4 linked regions of the Drosophila melanogaster genome follow. Changing the gene in region 3 together with the main gene of any one other region gives a genetic interaction. Each region holds a gene or a part of one and is shown on either strand. Other genes may lie near its edges.

Region 1 (8,267 bases), on a different chromosome or scaffold from region 3:
CAGGACAAGAAGGCAGCCCCAGAGACCGCGACCGCTCCGTCCAGATGGAGAGTCATTTGTTAGAAGCCGATTGTTGCCTGTTTTCCCCGTATGTGGCAGAGGCCACAGCCTGTTGCATGTGGCCAAAAGGCGAGCCGACGTGGAGCCTCTTGGCCCGGCTTTCTGGGTCTTATCTGGGCACAATCTGCCGACGAGGCTGCGGCCTAAGCTTCCGTGCTGCAAGCTGGCCCCGAAACAAACAATTCCCAAGCCCAATCCCCAATCCCCAATCCCAATCCCAGGCCTCGTGATTTCAATTTAACACCTTTTGGCGGCATTTTGCGCCCGGCTGCCCTTTTAGCCATGGCCAATTGTTGGGAACTTGTCGATGGCTTCTTGTTCGATGGCCGTGCATTATGCAGAAGCCAGAAGCGAAAGCTGCGAATCCATCGATGATGCGGCCCACGCAATTAGGCTGGCCAGCAAATGAGATCACTTCTGGACATTAGCTCACTTTTCACTCTCGTCGCCTTTTTTGGCCTTTTGACCACCGCCACCCACGCCAAAAGAGCCCCGGCTCTCGGCCAGATCGAAATGACCAAAATTGGCCAGTGGAAAGCATGCCAGCAGGTTGGCGCGACAACTCTCTGGGCCAAGTTCATTGGCCGCAATTTGTTGGTTGGCTGCTAGGGATTCGAATTGGGATTGGGATGGCGGATTGCAGATTGCCTCTGCGCTTTTTGCTGCTACCGCTGGTAGCGCCAAGTCAAAATCCCATTGTCTGCCTGTCAACTGTCCGCCGGCTGGACATCGATGAGGGACCGCATCAAAGTCACCAAAACGATATTTTTTTGGAACGCATATTATGGAAGCGGCCTTTTGTCCCGGGCGTGCGCCTGTCATAAGCTCGGCCCCGAGAATCCACGTCCCAGGGGTCAAATGTTTTGGATACCCTCACCGATAAGGAAACACCATTTCGGGATCAACTGAGATTGGGTAAAGAGGAACAGTTTAACAGGTTTGGGTTGCTCACTTCCTCTAATTCAAGAATCATAAGTTACTTTGCGACTTAATAATGAAAGTAAATAAACTTCAGTAAATAAATTAAACTTATTAAACATTTAGTTTATACTTGACATTTTATTGCCATTCTAGCGTACAACAAGCTAAACGTTTTCCCAAATCTCCCCTTTTAAATTTAAGTGCTCCAACGTCTTTGTTTTTGGTCTGCTTGGGTCAAATATTTCATAAGATTTTGTGTCTTGGGCAAAGATCGTGCTGAGATCGTGATTTAGCGCCGCGATGTTGATGCTTTTTGTCTGATTTTGATCGGGGCTTGGTTCAGCTAGTGGCCAGGGAAGTCTATTTCAGAAATGTGAAAAATTTCATATACGGCCCCCAGATCGATGGAAAGCAGCAGGAGCTAATGCAGTGGCATTATGTAAGTTTGCGTGTGAAAATTGGTCATTTGAAAATGCCAAGGCAACGTTGCCAGTTGCAGCGACTTGTGGGCCACCATCCACAAGGAGCACGCATCAATTGTTTCGGGGGAGGAGTGCTCCGTGGGCAGGAGCCTCCTTTGAATGCAATTGCGGCGGCAAATTAACATTTTATGAAGCCGAAAACAAAGGCAACGCGGAATCGTGGGCTACCGCGCTTACACAACGCCGCCAAAGCGGCCAACAGTTGGCCAAACAGACGCGATCTGGCCAAAAGCAGAGGATCTGCGGCTACTGTTCTAGAGATGAGCAGAGGTACTTCGCGGGCACAGTGGTTCGGGTTTTTGAGTCTTAAATCAAATTGTTTAGCATTAGGTTTGGGATCCCAACATAAGGTGGCCTATAAGCAATTTCCAAGCAGAATTTGTATTGGTCCAATAAACATACTTCCAAGTGGAACTAATAATTGGTAATGGACACAAGAGAAAGATTTGAATATTTGAACTGACGAGTAATGTACACAAATGGTCTAACTGTTGGATATATCCATTGGGTACTTGATATTCCGAGATGGTTCTCCTATTGTGCGCCAGCTATCCCGACCACTGTGCCGATGGCCAATTGACAATAAATCCTCGCTCTTTCCGGAGGCAGAACAATGCCAGAGATGTGGGGGAACTGCTGGATTCCGTCGCAACTGAATCCCTGAAGCATTTATTAATTGCACATGCGCTGGAAACGTGGCCCGATGTCAACATCCCAATTGCAGCGCCAATCGTGGCTGGAATGGGGATTGGGATGGGGATCGATTTCGGTTTCGGGGTTGGGTTGAAAATATCGTTGGGGATGGGGATGGCGTAGGGGTGCTCCAGCGATCTTACCTTCTTCATTATGCCCGTCTTGCGCTTGGAGAAGGTCGTGTAGCGACGCAGCTTATTGTCGATGTATTCCATTTTGATTTTGACACGTCCCTTTGTCTTTTTGCCGTTGGCAGGCGGAGACTTCTTGTTGGGCAGCGGGTTGTAGTTGTCTACGCTGTCGTCGACGGCTCCGCTGGCCACGTTGTCCAGTCCTTGGAGGGTGAGTCCGCCGGACGAGCGGTGGTGATCCTCGTAGCAGTCGCTGCCGGAGCGCTTAAGGCCGCGTTGCTGCTGGGGATGCTGCTGCTGCTGTTGTTGCTGCTGCTGGTGTTGCTGCTGCTGCTGTTGTTGCTGCTGCTGCTGCTGGGAGGCGTGCTGTGGGCTGTGGAGCGTTTGGCACTGCGGGGCAGGGGGTGCTCCTGCCGCGGGATTGGGGCGCTGCATCGGCGGAACGCCGCCCATGTTCTGGAGCAGGCCACCGGAGGGCGGGCGGCCCGCCCCCAGGGCCGGGTTGCCGTACATGTCCGCCGGATCCGCCAGGCTCAGCCCTATGCTACTCATCGAGTAGTTGAGATTGTACCGCGAGTCACCTCGCGTCGGATCCATTCTGAGGTAAAAGTTCTCCACCGTGGAGCCGTAGAGATCCAAGGCACCGCGCGCGTCTATTATTGCGTTTGGGTTTCGGGTGCTGGGAATCTGAATATCTAGAATCCGGCCGCGGCACACTTTTCAGATCAGATCGCTTTATATTCCAAAAATAAAACCACACAGAAAACACTCAACGCGCGCGTTTCGCTGGCGTTTTCGGCCTTTTTGGCGGCGGCGGGCGCGTTTCTGGGGCGGTTTTTGTGCCCGTCTGCCTGGGGGCCAAGTTCTCAGTCGAGGAAAACGCTATAACTTATTAAAAACCCGGGTTTTTTTTGGCCAAGAACGCGAATTTAAGTTTCTTAAGTGCACGCACACACTTACGCGCGCACACACACAGGAAAACTGACAGCTGACAGTCCTGCAGTGTTGGAATGCGGCTGAAGTCCAGGGATGCAGCGCTCGTGTGTTGCGCAGTGTGGTCGTTTGGCGCGGAATTTGAATTTTGGTTTGTGTTTAATATTTAGGTTCTGGACCGCTTTTATGGCTTGTTTCCAATGGCTTTAAGTTTCTTTATGGCTTTTAATTTCATTTAATTGTATGTTATTTTTTGGTTGCAGTTCTTTTAGTATATTTTATTTAACTGGTGTTAAGAGTTTTTATCTTTGTTTGCCTTCTAAAACTTGTGATTTAATATTTAATGTTTACTATATGTGTTGTTTGTTGAACTGGTTTTAGATGATTTACCAAATCCTTTCTCGCGTTTTATAATTGTTGTGGTTTATTGGGATGTTTGCTATTTTCTAAAAGTTTTCGAAGGTTTATCATTGAAGACGTTCCTTCTCATCGCTGGCTGATGGTGCTTTATTCCTTTGATTATGGCCTCTATAAGTTGTTATCTCCTTAAGTCTTCCGCTTGCTGTCTGCTTGTCTCGAACTGATTGCATTAATATCCGTTTTTTGTAAAAATTGTTTAAGTGTTTCTGGTAAAAAAAATACGCCTAACTTTGTTTCGACTTCGTAGATTTAGTGCAGTTATGGGAAATATTTGTGTTTTTGTTTGTTCCGTATGCGTTGCAGTTGGTTTGCTTATTTGTCGCTAGGCACTTGTTTGGACTGTTTACTTTATTTGTGGCGATTTTATTGTGGTTCATTCCAAATACGAATTCGAAACGATTCGACGGGCTAAACTTGCGATCGATAGCTGGCGTTCGTTGTTCTTCAGATGGCGTGCAAATACCTAATAAACTTCAGCGTATTTCCACCAACGATGTTCGCTCGATATTCCAAACTTGGGCGAACCGGTTTCCTCTTTTCCTAAGAGCGCCGCGCTCTCTTCGATTTCGAACGCGAAGAGTACGGAGTACATAAAAACAAACCCCAATCCCCCATTCCCCGACCCAATCCCCACCCCCGTTCGGCGTCTTCCTGCTGCCGTCGTTCATTTTGCTGGCTTTATGGCTTAATTAATTAGATGGCCACGCCCCCATATGCATACCCATTCGCTGCGCATGCGCACACATAGATCGTGGATTTGGGATTCATATGGCTGGGTGGCTCATTGGCTCCTCCCCTTGAAAACTCGTGGTTGAGTTCGGTAATTACATACGTGGCGTTTCGCCTTATCAGCGCTGTTAATTTAGTTAATTTGTGATCTTCTGATTTTGTGATTTTCTGATTTTCTTATTGCTGATTTTGTAATTTCTTTTGCGACATTTCGCAGGCTGAGCTTTGCGGGCATCTTGAGTGCCCGGGCGCAGCAACAAAAAGCGATACACTTAAACTATGCCAGGAATTTCTTAGCCCCGCCAATATGGTCAGAATGCTCTAGAGGATTTGCGTGGTGGGCCCACTTGTACACAGGAGCACGAGTATTTCGCCATGTCCTTAAATAGAGGTTCGCGGAATGGGCAAAGGGGCGGAGTGGGCATGGCCACGTGCAGCGACTAGCAGATAGCAGCAGATATGTATATAGTAAGCGCAGATAAATCGATACACTCACTGCGCCCCGATCCGCGATCGAAGATGATGCATTCCCCAGCTGCAAATGGTCATCGTTGCCTTTTCCAGCCATCGGTGTCGTTGTCGCCAGCTTGTCTCTTCCGCGAATAAGCCAGTCCAGGTCCCGTGTCCAGCTCCACGACTCCGACTCCGAGGTCGACTCCGATCAAGCACCAGGACCAGGACCACAGCCAACTGCAGCTCCGCTCCTCTCGCATTTAATTAGATGGAATATAGGAGCTCGATGGTTTGTCTACCTGCCCGGGCTGCCTAATGATTTAAATTAATCATAATGACTGTCAAAATAGAACGTTTGCCGCTGCCAGCGGATCATATAAGGATCGATCCACGCAGCGGGCACCAGGTCTTCTGGACACTACGGGAAAACGGATGCCACTTGGGTCACTTGAATCTGAATGATGCCTTCCACTTGTATTCCCATTTCCCCAAGACTGCGAAAAGAAAGAACAATAAATAAAGATGAAGTTTGATGATCCCCACGCATTCCTAATAATTCCGTATTTTATATGGATTAGGTTTACAGATGGGTCATATGACATATGCATCTCTAGCTCTGTGACACTTTTTTATTGTGTAATTTGGTTTTAGTTGTTTGCTAAGTATTTCTCCGAGTGCATTTCGATGCAGCTTCTGGTCCTGCTGACATTTCATCATACTCACACGGCCTGCTGGCTGTTGGCTTCTTGGCTTGTTGACTTGTTGGCCTGCAAGCCTGGTCTGAGGTTCTCACAATTGTAGACGCGTTCTGTGCAGCGCTTACTAATTGGTTAGTTGGCTGCAGGCTGGGCTCTTCAGCGTCTGCAGCCATCCAGGCCCTCTTTCTCCGCCGTTTTCTCCTCCACCGGCAGTAGGAGTCCGCTGGCTCCAGTGCGGCTGTCTTTCTAGGCAATCGTCAGCCTGTCTGGAGGAGAACTCTTGGCTTCTCTTGGAGGCTTCTGGCCAGCTGGGAACAACTGCAACATGCTGTAGTTTTTGCCATCGCACTTTCCGCGGAATTCTCCCCAGCTGAACATTTCTAATACTTAATTATTTGCTTGCCGTTTTACGTGCATTTATTTGAGAGGGGACGAGGGGAATTAGGGGGCTGCTCCTGATGCTGCTGCTCAGAGTCCGCATTATGTAATCCTGCAGAGTTCACCTTCAAAACGGTGGACAGATCATCTAGGCATACGGATGGCATAGGTATATTCCCAAATATATTTATAACTCGAGAGGAGCGTTTGTTCCATTTACGATTCCGAACAACTTTTGATTTTGCAGCTAGCCATAGCCATAGCCACATATGTGTATATTTATATATATAGACTTTTTTACTATTTATAGCGCTACTTGGGCATTTGCCTTAAGCCAAAGCCAAAGTGTTTTAAATAGTCGAAATATGTAAATTTCCTTTTTTTTTGTCTTTTTCAGTATGGTCATGCGGGAAAGTATCTGCGAAATATTGTGTTAGGATTTCAAGTAAAGCACGAGATTCGGATGGCAAGTCATTGGTACGACTGGTGATAGTAGAATTGGATGCAATTAAGATAGCAAAAAAAAAACGAAAACAGTACAAGCGACTCCCCAGGTATTATTCAAAATAGAATATCTATTATCTGCGCAGCAAGCTGGTTGATTTACACACTCAAACCACCGAGCACACACACTCCTTATACAGATGGGCCCGAGATCGGCCAATCGGAATATATCTGATTGAATGCAAGAACGTGGCACATGAGCACATGACTGCGGTGTATGATCGCCGGAAAGCGAGTGGCCAAGAAACTCAGGTGTCTAATTGGGCGCTGGGGTGACAATGAACCACTTAACCAAGCCAGGTCCAACTGCAACTCCTGCTCCTGCTCCAGCGCACTAAGCCAAAAGCCTGAGATTGACAAAGCCGGCAGAGAAAACCGCCAACGCCAGCTCAAAAGTCGAACCAATTGGCAATTGGTACAGGCGATCGCAATGTTTTTGCCTCATGAATAACGCATAAGGAGCAGGGAGTAGGGATTGGATTGGGTTGAGAATCGGGATCGGGATCGGAATCGAAATCAGGATCGAGCTCTGCGAGACTTCGGGGCAATTGTCTGGTCGCTTGTGTTACAATTTAAATAAAATTGCGGCTCCCTGGGCGAAAACAAAAGGAAAAGCTGGGGGTTTTGGCCTTACGATTTCGCTTCTCAGTTCTCTGTTCTCAGTTCTCAGTTCTGGGCATTGGTTTTCTTTTGGGCCGAAGTGCAAGTACCGTTTGTGCACAGGAAACAAAAGCACCGCTACAATCATAAAACGATTAACAGGTCGTGACCGTTTCACCTGATTACCGGTAGTCCGGCTCATTTGCATGCAGGTGGTGCCGCGTCTTTTCACGGTGACAAGTGCAGGAAGTTCGGAACCGCCTGCCCTTCCCTTAACTTCCCCTCCTCCCGAGCACGCGGTTCTAACTTCCTCGCCTTCCGCGCATTTTAATTCACCCAATATTAATTATGAAAATCAGAAGGCAGGCGCAGATGGGTCGGTGCGTGCCTCGCATGGAAGTGGGCTCCTCGAGGCACTTTTGGCCAAGTCGAGCCCAAAGCCCAGAACTCAGAGTCCAGAGGCCAAAGGCACTGGAGCTCGGGGCCTCTACAAATTAGAACAGAATTATCCCACGCATCTCGGATAATGTACGCGAAATACTTGATCGATTGCCAGCGATCTATGGTCGCTTGTACTCGGTCTCCAACTGACAACAACGGCGGACAAGGAGACGGGAGACGGGAGATGGAGGTGGAGGCGGAGGATCGACGCAGACGGTCCACTGGCTGAGGCCATCAGAACGGAAAGCAGCGGACTGCAGACTGCAGACTGCAAACTGCCAACTGCCAACGGTGGAGCACAGCAGCTTGGGATCTGCGGATCGTCGATGGCACAACAAATTTCAGCGCGTAGAACGGTAACTTATTTTTTCCTCCCTGCTAGCTAGGGGGTATGTGGGGTAGTTTGGACTGGAGCACCACACTACAATATGAAACATCAATTATTACTAAAAGTTAGAGGAAATCGCCTTTACCAAAATATCTAGCAAGTGATTCAAGTGACTCGTCCAGCATTCTGGATGAGTTTGGAGTTGGGATTCTGCAACAACTAGCGAAGATCATTGAACTAAAAGGTAGCCACCATTCGATCTGCCCATCTGACTGCGAGCCACTTATTGTCAAGCTGCGCAGCAACCGAAGGGGGATTGGGGGGATCGGGATTCGATCCAGCCGAGGGAGTTGGAGGAGGAGGCTCACACAGCGATGTCTCCAGTTTGGCTGTGATAAAATGTGCGTAAGTGATCAGTTGGAAGAAGACGACTCGGGATGGGGATGGGGATCGGGAACTCGGACTGAGATTCAGACTGCCAGTGCGACTTGGGGTT
Region 2 (8,067 bases), on a different chromosome or scaffold from region 3:
GATATACGACTTTGGTACAGAACCTAAGTTACAACATATCTGAGTGTTATCTTAGGACTTCTACACAAGATCAATAATATTGTAGATGGTTTGTTTGCCCAGTGTAGCTATATATAGCCAATGTATATTCAGCATGTATGCATTCATGTATCTCAAGTGCAATACAAAACCATTGAAAATGCTGAGGCGTTAAGAAAATAGAGCACACACACCAGTTGTTATTTTTATTTTTTAATTGTTATTACGCTGGTCGTTTTGCTTTTGTTCTTCTGGTTGCCGCCAGTAGTTTTTTTTTCGATATTGTAACGAGTTGAACGGGTGGCTTAATTTATTTTAATTGAGCTTGAAAAGTAAATCGAACAAATGGGCGAAAAATCGAAATATATAACAGAGGTAACATGGGTGAATAAATATTGAACGGTTCATAAGCGATTTTTACACTTTTAACTTTCACGCCCTATTTTAGTGTCATTTCACATTACCAAGCAATCAAAAAGTTCCCATCTCACGCTTGCCCAAAAAAACCAATTCAATTAGTCCCGAAATTATGAAGTAATCCTCGCTGCGTAAACATCCCCGGGACATCAATCTCGTATTCGAAAGTTGTATGGCCAGCGATCAGTGGAAGACCTTTGCACTCGTCTCGCCCCAAAGCAAAGCAAAGAATTAATGAATACAGCTCAATTAATAAAACGGCGAACGAAAAGTATGCAAAACCATGAAAAAAAAAACTATCCAACAGATACAAGTGGAAAATGCAGTCACTTGTCTGGCAATCGAAACGTGCCCCAAAATGGGCAACACAAGCTGCTGCCCACCAGTGTTTCCACCAGTGACCGAGTTACAAATCAGTTTGCTCAATGAATTGCCGCTCCAGCCGAGCCGAATGTGCACGCGGATCACTTAACAAATTCCGGGTAATACTTTTTGGATAATTGCTATAAATAGCTTATAAATATATAGTAAATCGAGGTCTAAGCAACATTCCAAACATGTGGATTATTATCATTGGATTGTACGGATACAAATATACAAACAATGAAGTATAAAGACATTACTGATATCAGCTTGCCTAGAAATAGGTACATATATCATGAGTTGAGTTTTGAGGAGGAAATCGAATTGCAGATAAGATGGTGAAATTGGAACACTCTCATACTTATTTTCCTTCGAGTGTTTTAACATGTAGTAAAGATCTTATCAGGAGAAAATGAAAGTGTTGAAATATTTATTATGAACGACAATGGGTCAGTAGAAAACAGAATTCCAGAAGAACAAAGTAACATGCATTCTCCAAATAAGAAACTCATATTTTAATGTTTTGATAATGATATTTAGATCTTTGAGCATTAATATTTGTGAAGTGTACTAATATCTTGGCGGATGCTGAGCGTCCCCACGTCTACGTCCGAAATATTTGGTAGATGTGGAGCCGATGCACTGCCCACACAGTGGAGCATGGAGTGAAAATGAGCTCCGATCTCGATTTCTTTATGTTTCCGAAGCGTGTTTATGTGGCGGGCATTCCAAAACCGAAGCCCACTGCTAATAAGGTCGAAACGCTCGAAAAAGTGAGAGAGACTGAAAATAACAACAGCTTTAAACGAGCGCATTGACATTTCGAGATAATGGATAAATAATATACAAAATACGCCCACAAAATGGAGCGACGGCGAAATTTGCCAAACAATCGGACAAAAAATGTGTAGAAAACAGGACAAAAGCCAGAGAAATTATGACAAAACATCGAAAGACGCGAGATATTTAAATCGGTGAAGAGAAGAGCGAGGAAAGAGCGTAACAAAAAAAAACAATAAATCTACGTACAGATACCAAACAAATCTTAGCGTACGTTGTATCTTAAAGATAAATCGCATTTGTGGAGGAGGGGAGTGGGAGGCCAGCCGCCAGCTGCTAGGCAAGCAAGAAATATAGAATGAAATATCTATATGTTTGTGTACACAGAGAATAATATAGTATTTTTTTGATAAACAGTAATATAAATAATGCAGTACTTCTTGATTACATAATCAAATACTATACATTGTTGTTGAATGGAACCCTTTGCTCAGGTTTATATCCATATACAAATACAAAAAAAAGCATCATCGTGAAAAGCGAATTATGCTAATCTGACTAGTCCTAAGATTTCGCTAGCACGTCATAAGATATAGCCTAGTGATCTATTATAATCCAAATTTTTTCTCTGTGGACCAGCGTAGTCAGGGGCAGACATCAAACGGCAGACGTCGACGCTGGCGCCGGCAGCGCGATGAGGTAATTTTCAGCTTGTTTTCTAAAACGCTCGACATCCGAAATGGGGAAAAGGGTTTTCCGATGGGTTTTTGGCGCGCATCGCGCAGGCGCAACGTGCATTTGGCGTTTGAACTTAGTTACACAATGGAACTGCCTTTTTGTGGCACATATTCCACTCGGAATGGATAAAAATAACACCATATGTCACACACTTATGACCGCGCACTCTCGTCATGTATATACCTTCTTTAATTCCCACAATTGGGCTGGAAACTCTTTTGATATTTGAACTTGAACGATATGCACGATATGCGATATTCATATATGTACGAATCGCCTATACATATATATGGGTAGATATATGTATATATATATATATTTCAATAGCGATATCGGGCGCGGCACAATCGAACGAATTGGCACCGACGACGGACGAAACTCGAATGAGCGGGCCATAGAAGCGAGTGGTTCGCTCGGTTCCATGGGCAGTGTGAGCAGCATGAGCAACAGATGGGAGAGCCGCGAAGAGAGCCACCTGCTGCTAGGCTTCTCTCCTCTCTGATTCTTCCGATTCTCCTGATCGCCGTCTGCAAATGTAAACAAAACAAAAGGTGCCAGCCAGAGGGAGGGCGGTGAAATGAAGGGGCAGCGGAGGAGAAGGTAGTGGCCACAAGGTGATGGACCCGTGCCAGTGGTGACTAATCTTTTGTTGCCCAACTTATGGCTCTTTCTTTCTTCTCAAAAGTGAGCAGAGAGGAAGCGAGAAATTGGAAGAGGAAGTGCGCTTAGTCACATGGGGTTTTCTAAGAAATGGACATTACTCCTGCTTTTCAAGGGCTAAGCTAGTCAAGCGATTGGAGCGTTGTAAGTATTAGTATTTTGAAATGTTTTGGTAATGACGTTTTGTTTTGATGATGTTATATGACCCAAACATTTCTTATCTATAATATCAATGACTCTTTGACGGACTAGATTATTCCCCAAAAGGAATGCTTCTAAACAATCAACAATATTAACGTAATCTTTATGGGTTCAAATCTCTATAGATACTATAATCTAAACAGGACCAGTCTCTTTTTAGGAAAGTATCTGCATTTAAAACTCTTACACAAACAGAATACATGAGAAATTTCAATCTCAGTTGAAATAATTGAATACAACAGTTTCCAAAAACGTGCATAAACAAAGGAGGCAAAATAATAGCCTGTTGACTTCAATTAGGTCCAATTATTGACGCAATTGAGGGCCTGATCCCGGGAAGAGTGAATCTCTATGCCACTGACAGCGGGATGTAGGCACGAGTCTTGTGGGTCCTCGTCTCGGATCTTTGAGGGTTGCAGTTGCACAGCTAACTCCACAATTAACTTGAGAATTGAAGGCAATTGCCAACTCCCGCGAATCCGGCGCTTCTTCTTCTTCTTCTTCAGCAACCGGGGGTTATCTTATCGCGTATGGAATGTACCCCATATACATATACACCATGCTATTCTGCACGCTCATCCAGCTGCTCAGATAAAGCCGTCAAACCAAACCAACTGCTGTGCTGATAATGCGAGGCAGTCGCAGTTGGACTCTCGTTAATTGAATTATATTCGCAGCTTTGGCTAAAAAAAAAATGTTGCACTTTAATTAGCATAAAACGTAGACGATGCTTACAAGCAAACAAACGAACAAACATACAAATGCGGGCGTTCCCTTTTTTTGCCCCCTTTTGTTGTTACACTGGAAACTTGGTTAAAAGGGCGGAATTCGCGTGACCGACAAAAACAAATGTGCGGGACATGTGGGAGAGACCAAAATCCGGACAGTCGGCGCCAACAACTGGGGGTAGGGATAACGATGATGACTCCACCCCGGAGGAGCACCCACTAGGCGGCAACAACAAAATGTGCGAACGAATCGAAATGAGTTCTTGTTGGCCAGGCCGCAGCTGAATCTCCACTGGCTTTGTTTGACGCGTTTTCATGCCGCGGGAAAGGGGCTTTAAACTGATTTGTGCACTTGGGGTTTTAAACATTGGTTAACTTACAGAAACACACGGCGAAAAGGGCTTAAAGAGAGCTAAAATCGAGTAAATAAAACTAACACTTTACAAAATATTCCGTAGTTAAGACAGTGTGACCGTGCGTCAAGCAGCTATCGATAAGTCATTGCGGCTATCGGAACCAATTAGCGTTTGGGTCACATAATTACAAAATAAATAAAAAATATATAAATTTACAAGTTCTAATCATAGTTTGCCTATACTTCTATAATATTTGAAATTACTACGGCAAGCAAAAAGTAGTCTGCACACAGAGCTGTTATGCCAATGGCAGACTGTTAAGTGCAGGGTCACCCCAAATGTAAAGGCATGAGCGCCAAATTTAAAATAAAACCCCCAACTAATGCAGTCTAACTAAAACAAGGCTTAAAGATTAAGCGATTTGTAGTCGAATCCTATAAAAACAACATATCCACATGATTAATGAAGGTTACAAGCCCCACCAAAGCGCACCCCCACACAAACTTGATAAATTTGTCTGGCTTTCCTGAATTTTCTCCGAGACGATCATCGTTTCCGTTTTGATTTCGGCGATTGGAGGGCAACCAAGTGTGCAACTTACAACCCTCAGAAAATAGACGAGCAATCTAAGGGCCGAAAAACAAAAACTAGCCAAAATCATAAAAATAAGCAAGCGAATTCATGACTTCGCCAAAGTCAACGGACCGCACATAGCGCGCGTCTTTGGGGGCCCTTTCACTGGGGTTGCTTTCCCTATAAGGCAGCGAAATAAAAATAAATTTAATGTTCCTGTTTTTTTCCCTTCTCCTTTCTCGACTTGTCAAGGATATCATATGCGCGAATACATGGGTATATGTGTACGCGTAATTTATGCTGCAAAACATCTCGAGCATAAACAGGAAACAAGCGTCCACGGTCCTTCTTTCGCAACACTCTTAAAAAATGAGAAGTAATTAAAGACAAGTTGCAAAATTATCAAAGGGGGGGATAAACATTCCTTTTGCTACTATCAAACTTGAATTTAATTATTGGAAATTTCAAGAGAAACATTTTAAAGCGAACTTTCAGAAAACCTTCATACATAAAACACTATATTCTTCATATAAAAATTTCTCTCTGTGCACAATGCCCGCCCCTGCGCGCTTGAGAAATTTCTTGAAACGAAGTCAAGTTCGTGGCTTGGGCGCAAATTCAATTAATTTCAATCGAACGCCTGTCGTTCTGGGCATCCGGCATTGGGCATTGGGCATTGAGCATTGATGTCCCGCGATTCGAGGCCTGCCAAACCGATACGCAGATAGAAGATGCAGGATGTGCAGATATGGACTCACCCCTCGGGCCGATAAATCTCGGAACTGGCACACTCGCTTTACACACACGCCCGTTATGACTGCTGGCCAAGGAGGAGCAAGCGAAATGGATGAGCAGAACGCATCGACATGTGTCCTGGTGCTCCTGCTGCGTCATTGCTTTAGTTCCGGTTGAGTTTGTGCCAGCGCTCGCCAAGATTTATGTCACTTTGTTGGCCCAACAAAGAGGCCAGGGAGTTTGGTTTTCGGTAATGGCAAATAAAAACCCGATTCGCAAATCCTTTCCTCGAGTGACCCACTTGGGATTTGGGACTTGGGACTGACCAGCAGCGAGGAGCAACGCTAATTGAGCGATCTTCCGGCTGGCTAATGGGTTAAACCGGCCAAGCCGAATGCCCATATATCATGTGCTTGGGCCGTGATAATTTCGGCATTTTATCAACCAAAATTTAGAGGGTTCTTGACTCTGCCGGAGATTTATGGCCATCTAATTGAGTTTGTAGTTTTCCGAATGCATTTCTGGTTTCTAGTTGCGGATGAATCTGAGCTCTTTGGAGACGAATAAATTGGTTGAAATATAATAAGTTTTTTTCATATTTTAAGTACAACAAAAACTAGAAAAACTTGAAAAACGTAGAAATTTATGATGACAAGAAGTTTGAGTGTTTTCAAAAGAACTAATTGCTTGAAATTTGTAATTGCTTCTCTGTTTTTAGAAACTAGTACCAGACACTTACAAAATGTTTAGAAATTATTGCTAAACAAAAAACGGAAATAAATTCATATCCATTTCTTAATACCCATTAATTTAGAAATAAATGTATTATTTAGTGTAGATTCCGCTTACAATTGTTGGGAAATTCGTTTCGAAACCTTTAAATTCGATTTGCTTCACAATTATAAAGTGAACCGTCCTTTCTCCCCAATTTGTTTAGCATTCTGGAAAGGCGTAAACTCGTTTTCATATTGCCCGACAAATTCCCCACAAATTCGAAGCACTCGAAGGACATTTGCATGCGGGCAGCTATGAAAAACTTATATTGAGAACAATAAAAATTTATGAAAAGCCATTAGGGCGAGGCTGGAAAAACAAGCAAACGACTACAAATTGACGGCAGCCGTACGACCCAAACCCCTTTTGGATGAATTCGAGATCGGGATTGAAGCTGAATGGAAGGGGAGTTTTTGGCCACAAATTATTTTTATAGCTGAGAACGATCCCAGGCACGAGTATGGCGAGTTATGCGCCGGAGAATCCTATAAGCAATCCGAGACTAAGCTCGTGGAAGTGCCCGGATGGACGTCTCGGTCGTAAAAAGATGGAACAAGCCCAAAGGAGTGCACAGGAAGAAATCATTGAGACTTTAGAAAGAGTTTAGTATAAGAACTTATGGTAGTTATGTTAAAACTGATGCAAGCATCTTTCACTGATCTATGAAATGTAATCTGTTTGAATCTTAGATACTTTAAGACTTTGGAAGACCTTGGCAATCCATTATAGCTATTTGTGTTTCTTTTAGAGAATTCATTTCTCTGAGTGCAGTCAAATGTGAAACTGGAGTGTTGTGCCGTGTCATTGTCATTGCCTTTGTCACTGGCGTCTGGGGGCATGGACATGGAAGAGAGCGAATTTTAATTGATGACGATTTCATTAAAATTTCGTGGCGGCCGTGCTGAAAATCGACATCCTGCAACCCCGCAGCGTGTGGCAATAAAAATGCAAACAAGCGGCGCGTGGGCAATGTCCTTGCTCCAGGATAGGAGATGATGAAGATGATGACGCTGGGTTAACTCGCCCAGCCAAGTGTGAAGGATGCAAAAAGTTAATCGCTCAGGCGGACGACACAAGCCCAAACCCAAACCCAAACCCAAGCCCAAGCTCAAGCACTTTGTATCTGGCCAGATGTGTTAATGTTTCTCGATTCCAGCCCAGGCTGGAGGGGTATTTTTTATTGCCCTGTCCAGGACATTCGGCATCCTGCGGGATGTGTGTGTTTGCGCACTAAGTAAATTGCGTAAATTTATGGCTGCGTAAATTGTTTAATGACTCAACAGTCTATTTATCCTGGCGAGGCCATGCACCGACTTGGCCTAATGGCCATGTTGAGGTTGAGTTCGTATCCGAGGATTTGGAATTTGGCTTGGAGTCAGGGGTGTCAAGTGGAGGAGGTGGTGCAGTGAGCTTGTTAAAAGTTCCATTCGTTTAAGGCATTTATTGACATTTCAAGGCATTAAAATGTTTATTTGCAGCGTGTAATTGAAAGTTTTATTAAATTTTTTTCAATAACTTGGATCAATTTTTTGATTAATGCCTCCTAAGAACTACTAGGAACACCTATATTTCCGTATCTTTATTAAATTTTTTCTATATTTATATTCAAAACAAATTTATTCGCTCTATAAAATCGTGCATTTCCTTACCAAAACTCTAACGTATAGCATCCATTTCGAAATGCATTTTATCTTAATAGTCTTCACTTAATTTTCCCGAAATGA
Region 3 (8,076 bases):
TTTTCGCCATTTGTCAGGGGTCAGAAAGGGGCCCTGGAAAAGACCCCAATAAACTTTCCGCTCGAAAGTCCGGCGGTTGGGGCGAAGTGTCCCAGATAGATTTAAATGACCGACCGACCGACCGACCAGTGCCGTCCGATGCGACACGCTCGTAAATTTATCAATGAATCTTTACCCGAATGGGCGACGCTATCTCATTGCGATTGAAACTAATGGGCGTTTAGCATTCTAGATGCATATTTTCACGCTCCTCAAGATTGGAGGCAGGCGGCATGCCTGCGTGCTGGGAGCCTAGTGCAGATAGCCGGGAATCTCGACTTGAAGATTAACATGTCACTGGATTATCTACACCAATGGACGCATAGGCTGCGAAAAAAAAAGACTCAAGAAGCGGTCTGTCATGACCAAAGTATCTCTTAGTTTTCTACGCGACTGATAACGTTAATAGTCGCTAGAATCATATGAATATGAATATGAACAGCATTCAGTTTTGGGGCTTCTTACTGACATGTGAAAAGGACACTACCGTGCTGGAAAGTTTTCGAAAAAGAAGGAATTGAACTGTGAAATCCCGGAAACTTGCGTGAATTGAATGAATTCTTTTATCGCCAGCAAGAAAACGAAGTACTTCCGATGCACTGATTTTTCCCTTTTCTTTCATATCGGCGGAATTCTTCTTTTTGGGCACACTTAACTTTATCAAAACAAGAGCTCTACTTAATTGAGGAAAAAAGATGACCCTAATAAATAATATATATTGTATACTATATATCACATGTTATATTCATATCATAGTTGGTCTTATCTGGTATTTTTACATGATATTATATGATGGATGAACACCAGCATCTTTTAGATCGTAGTACAAATAAGTGAAATGGAAAGAGTAACCGATAGCGGCGTGAATTCAGAAATTCAGCAATTCAGATAAAACGACTATACAGACTGCATTAACTGGAAAGCGTGCTTTAATCCCATATGATTTACTTATCTTTAATGAGTTTCATTTTAAAGCACATTTCTTCCAACGAAGATAATTTATTGAAAAGAAATGTCAAGAGGGTCGCTCGAAGATAAAGCAAAATAAATGACCCTATTCGGAAGTTGTAATGAATATAAGTAATCCAAGTAGGCTGAAAATTCTGAAAATTTTCCAATTATTTACAATTTTATTTCAATTCAGCTTGTTGCCTTGGAATCGAAATGAAACGCTAACTTCTCAACTTAGTTATATGAAAATATATTTATCTAGATCTATGCTTGGCTAACAATTAGTTAAACTTACTTATTCTGATTGCCGTAGAATCCACTGCGACCCTTGTGCATCGCAATGCTGAATCCGAACATCGAGTTGCTGGACTGCCGGAAACGGACGTAGCTGGGCAGGTCGATGTTGTAACCATGGGCGGACATGGCGATCAGGAGCAGAATCAGGCTCGTTATGGGGCAGTGAAGAGCCATTCTTCTTCGGTGGATGGAATCTCCACTCATTTTGTCGACTTTCTAACTTCTTTATTCGCTGAGCTGATTACTTTACTTTTTGCTGTATTTCTACTTTCTCTCGAATTTGTATATCGATTTCGTTGGGCTTGCATCCAAGAACTTAGCACTTTACGCTTGCATCTTCACAGCTGGCGATCGGAATCGAGAATTATTATAACATATGGTCAAAAGAGACGCACACACACGCGCGGCTTTATTTATTATATAAACTCAACCTTGGCCAACATGAGTTGAGATTCCAAAAACGAAAACCGAAAACCAAAAAAAAAAAAAAAGAGCATAAAACACGAAAGCCAAAAACAAAAACTATATTCTTCAACTCGGCAAATGCTGAGTGTCTCTGTTTTTTAGTATCTCCACATATCTCTATCTCAACGTCTGCGATCTTCCTCTCTCATTCGCACCCACTCGCCCGCTCTCTCTCTCTCTCTCGCTTAACATCATAATCAAGATCTGTTGGCCTTGGGAATCGCGGAGTGGGCGGGGTGGTTAGGGCTGGTCGGATATCTAATGTCTGAAGTCGGATGTCGGGCCAATTACGAGTATCTTTATTACACGGTTCAGTTTCTTTTCAAATTATTCGTTACTATTAAACTGTCAATGCCAAAAAATCAATAAAATGCATGTCATCCGATAATTTGAACTTATTTTTATCGATTATTATTATATTATTAGGTTTTAATTATATTTCTTTGCATGTAAGGTTGTTTATATTATATTTTTATATTTAGTAGCTTTTGTTTTCATTAAAACGGTTTCTTGTTAATTTTTTAACAAATCACTTTAGGTTCTCACTTCTTTTTATTATTTATTTTATTTTATTTTTTTTTTGTTTAAATGATTTCAATCATCTCCTTTTCACTGCAGCAAAATGCTAGGGTATCAGTCGGGTCGTTCATATATTGTTGTCTAATTCTAAAATCTGATTTGTTGTTTTTAGACATTTTTGACGGTTTCATGTTTGCTTTTGGATTTTTTTCTTTTTGCTGCATGCTTAGATTTTGGCGCGTTCTACGCTCAGCATCGCGATGATGGTGATGGTGACGTAATGGGCCGTCAAACAGGTTGGCCAAAATAACAAAATAACGGCCAAAAAGCCATTAGACTTTTAGCCAGATTGAAAGCCAGCCAGCCAGCCCTTCCCACACAACTTTAGTTTAAATTGAAGATAACTTTCAAGGAAAAGTTGAAAATGCAATTGGTATCGAACGATTCAAAATATTATTTCAGTTGCAAGTACTTGAAGAAATCAAGACCTTAAGTAAGTATTTGAGCTGGATATTTTTTGCAGTGTACGTAGGTTTCTGTGGCGGAAAAGAATCCCACAAGTTGTAGGCGGTTTTGTGCAGGTGACATTTGACACATTTTCCACTTTTTATGCCCAGTTTTTCCGCCGAGTGTGGGCGATTCGAGTTCATTGATGGGCGGCTGCCATTCATAGACAAGAAAATGAATTATAATTAAGCGAGAGAGAGGAAAAAAAAACAACCTAAAAATTCGCTGTAGAACGCGCCATATGGTGTACACCATTTAACATTCAACAAATTGATCATGCGGCTGGCATTCAAAATGACTGGCGAATGTGTCAATATAAATAAGACAGTTAATTTCGTGGCCCACAAATTGCAGGCTAAAAATTGAAATGCGTTGCCAGGCGAACACAATTGTTAACTGAAAGTTGCTAAATTTGCATAAATAACTTCCTAAGCGTGCAATTTGCATTTAAATGCAAAAGCTGGCGAAAGTTTCTAAAAATATTTCTTCGTTTCCCATTTATTTGATCATCATTTGAACTTGTAACTACTAATTAACGAAATAACCTTCAGTTTTGAAGTAAAAGGTTTGAGACCCTTTTTGAACACTTCTCTTCTTTTTTTTGCACATCAATTGAATATATTTGGCAACAGTCACTACTGGAATTGCCATACAATCTTGCCCAGATGGTTAAGATATGAATACGAAAAAAAAACACATCAAAATAGTGGAAAAAACGATCATTGTCTAAAAATAAATCTAAAAAGTTGGAAGCTGTGTGCTACGCCCAGCAGAGTCCGCCTATATCTAGGTATATATGCACATGTATATATAGACGTGCATATACAGATCGAATTCTACACTGCACAAAATGTCGGAGGTGCAAACACAGCTGCGACATTAGTTTATTGATTTTGGCTTTTGTGTTTGTGTTTTTTTGTCAGATTTTGTTTAATATGCGTATATTTTGGGAATTTATTTGGTCGGTGCACTTTTCACTGGTGCTGCAACACTGGAAAAAAATGTTTCAAGCAATTTGTTGGCGCGTCGCGTGTTGTGCTGTTAATAAGTAAAGTTCACTTTCAATTGGTATTGTTTGTATTATTTATATTTTGATTTGCTATTTGACATTTGGTGTTTGCTCTACCTCGGCAGCGAACGCAGCAAGATTTAAACGACGACTAATGGCGCACAGTATCTGTAAGATACATCTTAGCACCGCCAGAGATACATGGGTGAACTGCTCGTGCCAGATCGCCTACTCAATACCCAACCAATGTAGTCTCTAGTTTTTAGACTCGGGAGAGCGATCTCGGAACAAACGCAAAGCTCTCAAACAACCAAAACGATAGCAAAAGTTTTATTTTTTCATTATCTACACATGTATGTAGCGAGCATCCCACTCGAAAAAAATTTCAAAGGTGAGTTTCGTGTGGGAAGTCTGTAATTTCCGTTAGCAAAAGTTTCGACCATTTGATGTGTCATTTTGTTGGGCCATATGTACATATGGAAGAACGTTTATTTCGAAAATGGAATCACATATAAATTTATGATTTTTATGTTCATATACACAAGCTTATATCCATTCGGAAATTAAAAAAATGTATATATTTTTTAAAATTCGAAAAAGGTAAATACACTTTTTTCAAAGTTTTAACTAAATGAGCTTTGAAATCTATAAGTTTTAATTGCACGATATGCAACATTTTCGCATGTGCGTTGGTGCAAATTAATTCTGCCTCGAAAATGAGAACGCTGCAGTGAAAATGGGTTTTCCCATTTATCCAGATGGTTTAGATTCGCAATCACGAGATCTCGGAATGTAGTGCAATTCGACTATACGAGCAAATTCGCCGGCTAACCGAGGCAGAGCAAACTGGCAATGCAAATTAATGAAAACAAACAATGAGCCCTCGAAACTCCGGTAAACATTTTCGATGGCTGGATATATGTATCAGATAACACGCAAATATAAATGTTTCGCCGTTCAATTACCATCGATTGCATTTGCATACGCGAATTTGAATCAAAACTGGCGCCCGTTGAATTTCCGTTTCGAACGCGAGCGCTCCGCACTTTACACCAGGCAACTTTCGCTTCACGCCACCGAATGCAGCACTCAGATGGCTAGCAATTCCTCAGATACAATTTCAAATTTCACGCAGGGATGCCAGATCGTTGGGCGATTCAAAAGTGAGCGCGACGCGCTGTTGAGAACGATCAACTTAAGTGTATAATATTGAACTAGAATAGTTACATAGTGCATAAGGAATATTTATGTCTTTCAATTTTAATATACTTTAAAGATGGTCAATTCCAAATGGGTACTTTAATTGTTAGGTTTCATATTTTTATGAAAATGTGTATTAATTGCTAATTTGTGTGGAGATAAATGTTTCCGTTTCAATGCATTATTTTAATGGCTTCTAAATGTGAATTGCTGATATGCTCTTATTTAAGTTAATAATTTTATGTCGTACCAACTTGCTTTTACAAGTTTTTTTTTAAATCTAATAAATAAATATATTTTCAAGCAATATCGATAGCGCTGCCAGATGTTTACATATCCTAATCAAACGCTGCCATACCGCTCGCAGATCAGCCGCTTGTGCGGTACGTTTTAGGTCCACGGCATACCTGCTGCCATTGGTCACACTGGCAGATTACGCGATTATTTTTTTTACGGAAAGTCTGCGTTTTCCCTTCCGGATTGAATTGCCTGGATTTGCTGTGATAACTCAAGCAAGCTAAGATGCACAAGGTGATCCGGCAAATGTCCCAGCTGCGCCTGCAGGCGCCACAGGGAGCAGCGCTCCTCCGATCGGCGGATAGCAGCTCAATATCACCAGCCATATCACCAGTTTCACCACCTGCCCTCCAGTCGAAATCCCTGCACACGGCCGCTTCCGCCGGAATGCTGTGCGCCAAGTGGAACAAGTACAACTACGGACCCCGCAAATGGCTGGAGTACAACAAGACCGTGCATCCGCCGCAGGAAACGGACGAGGAGCCCAGAAATGCTGTAAGATACATATTTCGAACGCACTGCTGTTACCCCTCCAGCTGCAATCCTCTAATCCACTTGCATTGCACAGTATGTCTGCCACATGCGCAGCAACATCAAATACAGTCCGGACAAGATGTGGTACATCGCTGCCTTTGTTCGCGGAATGTCCGTCGACGAGGCGCTGAAGCAGCTGAACTTTGTGCTCAAAAAGGGGGCCACCGATGTGAAGGAGACCATACTGGAGGCCCAGCAAATAGCCGTGGAGCGGCATAACGTGGAGTACAAGAGCAATCTGTGGATAGGTGAGCCGCAGGGGCACAAGGAATCTATGTATCCACTATGAATGATGGATTATCATTAGTTTCTTCATCACTAACCATTATATTGATGAATCTTTGTCTGTTCTTACCTACCAGCCGAATCCTTCGTGGGCAAGGGACGCGTCTTCAAGGGCGTGAGGCGGCATGCTCGCGGTCGCTTCGGCAAAGTGGAGTACAAGCACTGCCACTACTTCGTGCGCCTGGAGGAGGGCGAGCCGCCGCAGCACTACTACCAGGAGCCGCAGACGCCGGAGCAGCAGTACGAGAGCTGGATGGAGCAGATGCGAAGCCGGAAGATCATCAACTCGCTGTAGCCACCTGAATTGGCACTCGTATGCAATCGATCCGCACTCCTGCAGTCCTCCATCGCCATCGCGTCCACGCGCATTAAGCATTTTTTTTGGTTTTAGAAGATTGTTTAATAAAATAGAAACAGACAAAAGAACTATGTCAGAGGTTCATATTGTTCTTATTTTTACTTAGAGGAGTTTATTTTATTTAGTTTTGCGCGTATATACACAATGGATATTATTGGTTTTCTCTCTGGATGCCCGAGAGTTTCGGAACTCTAGTTGAAGTCAGGGAATGTTTGCAACTGTAAGCTTAAAGTAAATAAACTAATTCGCTCCAGGCGAATACTACTAATAATAGCTTACTAATTTATGCAAATTAATGCAATTTCGGATGTTTCTGAACGCAAATCCTAAGTATTTACTGATAAATTAGTTGTTTCTCTTTTAGAAGTTGTGGTTTAAATTAAAGTAGTCATTCAATTGTTAGCCTCTTGACCAGACCTTCTCACTCCCGTCCCTTTGAATGGCCTTTTGCTCTACTCCTGCTCCTTTTCCTCTTCATCCTGCAGGGTCTGTGCCAGCAGCTCCTCGACGGGGTCATCCTTCAGCGACTGGGTGATCTTTTCGAGGACCAAAGGCTGTCGCTCGCGCACCGCCTCATCATCTTCCTTGTCCAATTGCAGGCAGGCCAGTTTGGATAGCCTCGAATGTTTGCTGCGTCCAGCATCGCGTCGTCGCTTGCGGGATGTGGACTTAGTTTTGCCCCCTTCTCCAGTCTTACTCTTGTCCTTCTTCTTGGCTTTCAATTCCTTTTTCGTCGCACCATCTTTGTGATCCCTGAGCAGATGTCTCGCCAGATTCTGCGCACTGCTGAAACAGCGGCCGCAGTCCAAGGCCTGGCACTCGAAACGCCTGCCCGAGTGGGCGGTGAGCATGTGCTGGCGTAGATTCCTGAGGTACGAGTAACTCTTGCCGCATCCCTCCTCGTTGCAGGTGAAGGAGGTGGCGCACTCATCCGTCTGCGCCGCCTCCTTGTGCTTCACCTCGAGGTGACGCTTCAGTTCGCTCGGCTTGTCGAAGGCACTATCGCAGCGGTCGCACTTATGGCGATTCTTGCCGTGCAACGAGTCGCGACAATGCTTCGTATACAACGTCCATTTGTCGAACTGCAGCGGGCAGCCGGGACACTCGTACAGCTTGCAGCTGGGCTCGTGACTCTGGCACTGCCACTGCTGGTAGAAGCCGCGCGAGCACTTCGAGCAGCTGTACGGATACTCCAGCGTGTGCTCCCTGATCTCGTGGCGCTTCAGCTTGAGCTTTTGCGAGAATTTGGCACTGCACTGGCTGCACGGATAGACCTTTGGGCTCTCGTGGGTTTCGCGCATGTGGCGGGTCATGTTGCTAACCGAGATGAACATCTTGCTGCACTCCTCCAGCGCGCACTTCACCGTCTTCTTGGCCGCCGACTCCGGACGCTCGTGGGTGCTGCGCAGATGCCTCTTTAAGTGCGTCACAATCGAGTACGTCTTGTCGCAACCCTCGTACGAGCAGGCGTGCTTCTTCTGCAAAGTGGTGGCGGCGTTACTACTGGCTTACACTTAACATACTCTAACTATACTCACAATCCCTGTGTGATGATACTCATGGCGATCCAATTGGTCCAGCCGCTTGAATGTGGCCTCGCATTTGGGCATGCTGC
Region 4 (7,212 bases), on a different chromosome or scaffold from region 3:
TTTGCAACCACCCGGAAGCGCACGTCTGTTAGGACCGCTCGTGTCGCAGGACACTATCCACTTACTCCACAATCCCTTCTGACCACGCTGCGTCCTTTACTGTGTCCCAAGTCGACACCGTTTCCGATGGGCCTCTGTACGCATGGCCGGGTCGAGTCCAAAGTCCAGCAGTCCAGGTACCGTTAGTTCGAGCATTTCTTAGCTTGCAAATTGAAGTGGTCTTCAGTCCCTTAATAACATTTCGTTTTCGCCTAGAGCTGCACTTTAGATTTACATTTCTTTCCTTTTTGTGACCTAAAAAACAAAGAGGCGTTAAAGACAGTTGGAAGTACATTTTCTATAAAAGCTTACTGAATTCCCGAAGTACGAAAAAACTCCATTTATTCCGGCTGATCTCTGCGCCCCTCAGGTCTCTTGGAATCCTTTGCACGCACAGGTACATTTCCCAAACTTGATCCCGGGTCAATGCGTCGATCATGTTCAGCTCGGGGTCCCAAAAAAAGGTAATAACTCCCCGCCTTAAGTTCTCCGCCAAGTCGTCGAACATCTGTTAAATTTAAATTAAAATTATTTTTGCATTCGTCGACATACTGAAGTCACTTCATGCTTACATCGGCTAAAATGAATGAGAGCGGATTCAGCCAGTAGGACTCTGGTTCCTGTATAATTTTCCAAAGAAATAAAGTTTTAATGTAATAACTTTTGCAATTGCCCAAGTTGGTCTTCACATCGCGAAATTTTTTCATAAACCTAATTGCATTCCGGCAATTCTCGTGCACATCCTGCAGCAATATTTTCTCTACGGCGTAAAACGAGGAACGAAAGGAGATCATGCTGGTTTCAGTTAGGGGTTTCAGAGGCTTGGGAATCGCCTCCCAGTAAGAAGTGTTGGCGCGTTTAAAGCACTCCAATTGCTTCGTGGGCAAGACGTTCTGTTCGGCCGCCAAACAGATTGCAGGTACGTAGTCGACAGAGTACTCATAATCACCGTACACGTAGATAGTGTGGGCCGGCCCACAGGTTCTATATTTGAGATGGGACACTACGCCGGCAACCAGCTCCACGCGATATGATATCCTGTTGAGTGCCTGGCTAAACAAGCTCTGAAGCCAAGAACGAAGCCTGTCCACGACGAAAAAGTTTTGCGCATCCACGAGTCGACCCTGAATCAGTTCCCGAATTCTCTGGAAATCCTCGCGGGGATCATCCTTAAGGAGCTCTAACACGCGCGTCATATCGAGTAGTACGTTGCCCGGAATTTTCGGATCTCGCGTCACGGCGATGCTTTTGTAGTACGGAAATTTTAACTTAAATACCAAATCGAATTCGTTGGGCTTCGCGATCTTTAACATATCCCCGACACTGCCTGCGGAATTTAAGCTGCGCGGTAAGTAATGACTGAGAAACGCGGCGCGGAGGGATCGCGATGGAAACGAGTACGAAGCGCGGATACACGAATACGACCGGACTTTTTTTTTATCATTATGGTTCCGATAATATACATATATCGGAAATTGGATGGAGTTATGTGAAGTTGAGCCCCGTGAATGACTTACCTTCCAAACTGAACTCAGCAATAATGATGTCCAGCTCTGGATTCTCCTTTCTCAGTATTTCAAAGATTTTAGATGTCAGTGCTTCATAGTGCTTACCATATCGTTGTCCCTCGTCCTTTGGAATGTCAACATACTTCTTTTTGCATTCATAGAGCTTTTTTTCCACAAAGTTTTCAAGATTTCTAGACTCCTTCATTTTTTCTACAATATTATTTGATGAGTGAATAATCCCAATGAAGGTAATCACAATTAAAGATAAGGTTTGCTGATTAGCGAACACTGGAGACACTGGAATCTTTTTTACAATCGATTAAATACTAAAAAATAAATTAATTTTTACTTTAGGTATAAACGAACTAATTAAACTAGTATATTAAATACGGTTGCCTATTTTAAGTTTCCGACTTAACACAGCATTAAGATGCATTGCCCAGTTTTTCGGTAGTAAATATCTTTTATACAATCGATTAAATACTAAAAAATAAATTAATTTTTACTTTAGGTATAAACGAACTAATTAAACTAGTATATTAAATACGGTTGCCTATTTTAAGTTTCCGACTTAACACAGCATTAAGATGCATTGCCCAGTTTTTCGGTAGTAAATAAGCGCTCAGTAAAAGTACCGATCGCATTTTGTATAAAAAACGATGATTTTAGCATTAGCATGTCCCAGGAAATTATCCCTAAGAAAAACATCACAAAAACACCGCTATAGCCACCGCTGTTTAATCGCATTATTATAGGCAAAACAAATCACGGTTCATCGCTCTTTTACCGCTATTTATTCACTACCTACATACATATACATATTGAAGGAGGGGACATTTGGCATTTACATCAAAGATTAGCGGTTTTTCATGACCTTTTTTACTTTTTTCATCAGTTATTTATTACTATACATTTATTTGACTTTTTATTTAAATTATACATAGGATTTAAATTCAAGAATACAAATGCATATAGAATTCTAGAGCTTTGGGGACGTCTTGTTATCCTACATAGTTAGGGCCAGCTTATTTTCAGTTAAGCTTGGAATATGGGTAACCTTAAAGTAAAATATATTAGGATAATACAACAATTAAACTTCTGAGTAATAATTGACGCTGCTTGTAAAATGAATCCATTACCTGGCATAATTAACGAATTAAATGCCAAAATACTTCTCACAAAAAGCTAGTCGCAAGAACCAATATATTAAAGTTTTTTAAGCATTTGAAGTTGTGGGGTATTGAGGATATTAAAACGAGGGAAGTGAATATTTTGAATTTAATCACCGTCTTTAATCTGAATTCACAATGAAATGCAACATAAGGGAATAAGAATTAACAAGTCACATTCAACCAAATTCCCTTACGACTGCTCCCAGGGAAAGCCATTAAAAAAATAAGCATGAGTTTCACGTTTGTACAAAATCATTTCGGCCAAACTAAAGGTGTTTTATTCAGACGATAAACAGTACTATCAATATGGAGTTCCTCGACTAGCGAGGTCGGACTGCTTAGTGACCCGCGGTGGCGGCCTTGGCAGCGATCTCGTCCTCCTTAGCATGCAGGGCGATGAGCTCCTGCTTCTTGGTGGCAATACGCTCCTCGCGGCGCTTGCGGGCCTCACGCACCTTCTGTCGGCGAGCCTCGGCCTGATCAGCCAGCATCTTGCTGCGCTGCTTCTCAGCCTTCTTCTTGTGGATGTACTCCATGAGGACGCGCTTGTTCTTGAATACGTTACCCTTGCACTTCATGTACAGGTCGTGGTACAGGTGCCTGTCAATCTTCTTGCTGTCGCGGTACTTCTTCAACAGGCGGCGCAGAACGCGCTGGCGCTGCATCCACAGCAGCTTGGTAGGCATGCGGGCGTTCGCAGTACCCTTACGCTTTCCGAATCCGCAGTGACGTCCCTTGCGGCGGGCCTCGGTGTTTTTGCGCACACGGTAACGGGAGTGGACCACGACGGGCTTCTTGATGATCAGACCATCCTTGATAAGCTTGCGAATGTTCTGACCTGGAATGGGTTAACAACACAGTTAGCTGGGCTGTCTATTCGACCATTTAGACCATTTCTACTCACGCGAGTTTGTGTTAGCGATCTCGTTGATTTCATTGGGATCCAACCAGACCTTCTTCTTGCCGCATCGCAGCACGGAGGCTGCGAGCCTCTTCTGGAGCTTTAGAGAACTGCAAAGGAGGGTAACTTGTTAGTCCATCATTTCGAAAGTAGCGTGCTGGGATGCGCCTATCAGCTTGTGTGTGTGTGTGCATGAGCGTCGCATGTTCGGTTATTTCACAACTGCCGGGAAACAGAATGGCACTTGTCCGCCCGGCAGCTGCATCATACGGCACGCGCTCGCCCGGCACACTTTGCAAACATTTAGACCCCGCGAGCGCAACTTTTCGCTCATATTTGCGAACTCAAATCTACCTCATGCTGTCGACCTCGTCGTGGCTAGGAAAGAAAGAAAAATTTGACAGCCGGAAGTCAGCACCATTTTCTGAAGGGTGCTATCGATACATCGATAACGTACTCGGGGGTCTGGCAACGCCTCGGGGATGTACTAGTTTAAGCGGAGTGGCAAGATTTATTTAAAAAAAATATTTAATAACAACTACTTTGTGCGGTTTCCAGCAGCTTGGATGTGCAAGATCCGGCCATATTTATATTGTTCGAATTAAGTTAGAGCAATTAAGTAACGAAGCTTGGTATATTTTATTTATCTACTTGCGGTCACACTAAATTGGCTAAGAAAAACAAAAACAACTTTTTAGCCCAGTTGCAGCTGTTCAGAGTGCAATTTCTGCAATGCAGCACACGCTTATACGCTGCTTGGGCATGGCCCGGATATCCCTGATGCGTTTGCAGCCCAGACCCACAGTGGCAGCCTCCGGGGGACAGGAAGCTGGGTCCATCTCGAAGCCAACACAACCGGTCAGTCGGTCTTTCGCCTCGCTGCCGCAGGAGCAAGACAAGAAGGAGCAGAATGCCAGAGAGAGCCTTAACCGCCTGCCTCGCCTAATGGACTTTCCAGAGATCGTGTGGCCATCGGCGCTTAACTCGTTAAAAAATTGGATCACCATACAGTTCATAATTCGACCCTACTTCGACAGCGAGTTTCAACTCAAGGACTTCATATACGGCGCCAAGCAAGCGCTGCAGGTGCGTCATGGTTTGTCTATCATGAAGTGTAATGATATTAATTCCCTCATAGGTAGTATCCTCAAAACTGATGGGCGGCGACTTAGACTCCCTGGACAATCTTGTCTCGCCCGAGGCGATCGCAGAGCTTAGACCGGTAATCCAAAAACTGTCAATGACGCAACGGAGGCAGCTAGAAATCAAGGAGAGCGACATATACCTCAGCTTTCCCTATCAGGTAGGTATTATGTTTGACGATGCAAACGACAAGCTGCAGAAGCGTTTCGTAGAGATCACCATGGTGTTTCACGTAATGCGTGGTCTATCCGAGATGCGGGAACGCGGCGAGGAAATACCCTGGAACATGGGGTAAGTTTGGACTGTCACTGCCCGAAAGCTGAGCTCCTCATACCCATTTGTTGCAGGACCCTTCCCGAGTACCAGGATAAGGTTTTCATCTGCAACTACCGTTTTGTAAAGGAGTTCACCGCTGGACACCAATCGGACTGGACCGTAAATGTGGCCAACCAGTTTAGGGCCATCGACCTTATTAACGAGACCATATAACATCGGCCCATGGCTACCATCATCCGCGCTGTTCGCCGACTCATAGCATATATTGGCGTAAGCCACCGCCTTCGTTGGAATAAAAGTTTCGTTTTCCGCATTTAGGTATAAAAAACTAAAATCTTTACTGTGGATCTCTGGTTTAAATTAGGTTCATGTGAAATTAGTGCATTTGGTGGACAAGCAAAGCGCTCAGTGTCCCTCGTGCTTTGCTCTGTAGATGCCTTGGGGATCGTACTTGTTCAGGAGGAGCTTCCATTCGCCGGCTTTGTTGGCGCGAAGGTAGTTGATTACCTTTTGTGAGTTTTTGCGTTGGACTTCCGTGCACTTTGAGCAGTCGGAATGAAGGGCGTCGGGTAAAAGGCGCTTAAGTTCACGACCCTCTGCTGTGCATGGGCCCTTGTCCATCAGGCACTTGAGATAATTACCCAACACTCGGTTGTTGCCCAGAACTTCATCCACGTTGACACTGTCGTACTTGTTGGTGTAGGTTTTTTCAGGAGCAGCTGCCGCAAGACCGACACAAACACAGAACACTAGAGCTAGCGAGGCTTTCATCTTGGAGGATTATCTGGAAAGGCAGGTGGGAAATTCAAATTATTAAAGGTAAGCCACGAAACACATTTCCTAAAATGAGGGATTTTTGGTTGCCGGGTAAGCGGATAATAAGAAGGCGTCAGGCAGTCTCGGCTTTTCTGTGTTTTCGACGCATGTCAAAGAATCATCCAAAGCGGTTAGTGGTCTGCCCACCAGCTCATGCATTATTTATGGCCCTTGGCATATATATCGCATATGCATACTAATTGGCAATCGTTTGGATTTAATATTTTTGAAAAGATTTCACAATTTCACCGACACCACGTAGTTTTAGCAGCTTTCGACTTATTTGCGTCCAATATCCGAATCCATGCTAGCCCGTGGCCAGCTGTTTGGTTTTCGCAATCCTTGATGGGTGCTGCACCTCAATTCCTCGGGTGCTCGGCCTAACCAGGGCAAACGAACCACGGCTTGAACAATGGCTTACTCACTTCTCTTCCGGTGATTTTCGGTGGCCCGGGTGCAGTTGTGGTACGATCAAAGGCGCAACTCAAATTGCGAGCTGTTAGCTCGCTGGCCTCGCTTTTATACCAGGAGCTTTAGCGGCTCGTACACTGAGCGCAATGGTCAGCTCTCTGGCATCCAGAGCTTTAGCAGGCAGGGAGCAGGCGGCGGGTTTGGCCAAGTCGCGGCCCAGCGTAGACCCAAAGCAGGCAAACCGAACCGGATTTTCGATGACTGACTTAAGGTTTTTTCAGCCGAATTTCGGCAAGTGGTCCGATGCTCGGGCCAGCGGTTCAAAGGGTGGAATGGAATGGGAGTTTTATCACAGATTTATCTCTCAGACCCTGGTCGTTTGTTTACTCGTTCACGTACGAAATTCATAGGAAAAACATTGACGTACGTGAAAATTGAAATTTACATGTTGATTTTGCCAGTTGGTTTTAGTGGCTCCGAGACTCACAGCTGCTGAATCGGCTTGGATCAGCTTGGAGTTGGGTGTCCAACTCTTTCCCGACATAACGACCGCATTTGGTAGTGCTAGAGTTGTTGTCGCTGTGTTGTAATCACTTTTATGCATTTCCATTTCCCTTTTAATTATCTTTGGCGTCATGAATCGCACGCACCAGTCTAGACTGAACCAGATTTCGAAAGCTCATCGGTCGGGGCGAGAGTTATTGGGTTTTGTTTTGGCGTAGCTCGACCGATTCCAACTGGTCTGCCTTAGTAATTGGGATTTACCCCTGTCCAGGTGGACAATTCGGACAGCTTGCTGGGGGTTTTAAGGCGACCACCATTGGCGGTCGTCCGCACTTGGAACTGATCTCGCTAATGGAGCGCGGTGCAGCCCGAAATTACTAGTATGGTGGGGCAAACAATAATTGGCCATAAAGCCAAAATACACTTCATACCCTCGTATAAT

The links.
Region 1: of if (region 3) and bs, changing one enhances a phenotype caused by changing the other (phenotypic enhancement), as found in Drosophila melanogaster (2 studies listed by BioGRID).
Region 2: of if (region 3) and rhea, changing one suppresses a phenotype caused by changing the other (phenotypic suppression), as found in Drosophila melanogaster (one study listed by BioGRID).
Region 4: of if (region 3) and RpL19, changing one enhances a phenotype caused by changing the other (phenotypic enhancement), as found in Drosophila melanogaster (one study listed by BioGRID).

Annotation. Positions count from the first base shown.
Region 1 is NT_033778.4:24,338,707-24,346,973, reverse strand, and holds the start of bs (blistered), read right to left. Parts: upstream 4,114-8,267; 5' UTR 2,885-4,113; coding exon 2,300-2,884; intron 1-2,299. UniProt on the Drosophila melanogaster protein: Required for the formation of intervein tissue of the wing. Acts in a dosage-dependent manner to suppress wing vein formation and promote development of intervein cells. Might play a role in the proper formation and maintenance of the trachea.
Region 2 is NT_037436.4:8,541,308-8,549,374, reverse strand, and holds the start of rhea (rhea), read right to left. Parts: upstream 4,375-8,067; 5' UTR 4,286-4,374; intron 2,701-4,285; exon of another isoform or gene 2,500-2,700; intron 1-2,499.
Region 3 is NC_004354.4:16,778,566-16,786,641, forward strand, and holds the start of if (inflated), read right to left. Parts: upstream 4,870-8,076; 5' UTR 4,753-4,869; intron 3,981-4,752; exon of another isoform or gene 3,905-3,980; intron 2,510-3,904; exon of another isoform or gene 2,299-2,509; intron 1,632-2,298; 5' UTR 1,492-1,631; coding exon 1,286-1,491; intron 1-1,285. Other genes in the region: mRpL22 (mitochondrial ribosomal protein L22), read left to right, coding at 5,510-5,779, 5,853-6,066, 6,181-6,398; CG9609 (uncharacterized protein), read right to left, coding at 6,914-7,939, 8,000-8,076. UniProt on the Drosophila melanogaster protein: Alpha-PS2/beta-PS is a receptor for Tig, wb and Ten-m. Involved in the function and/or development of the olfactory system.
Region 4 is NT_033778.4:24,965,495-24,972,706, forward strand, and holds RpL19 (ribosomal protein L19), read right to left. Parts: upstream 4,054-7,212; 5' UTR 3,980-4,053; coding exon 3,975-3,979; intron 3,731-3,974; coding exon 3,624-3,730; intron 3,558-3,623; coding exon 3,058-3,557; 3' UTR 2,383-3,057; downstream 1-2,382. Other genes in the region: cGlr2 (cGAS-like receptor 2), read right to left, coding at 62-294, 352-547, 612-1,366, 1,557-1,752; CG3776 (uncharacterized protein), read left to right, coding at 4,353-4,706, 4,759-5,054, 5,111-5,252; Phk-3 (pherokine 3), read right to left, coding at 5,445-5,810.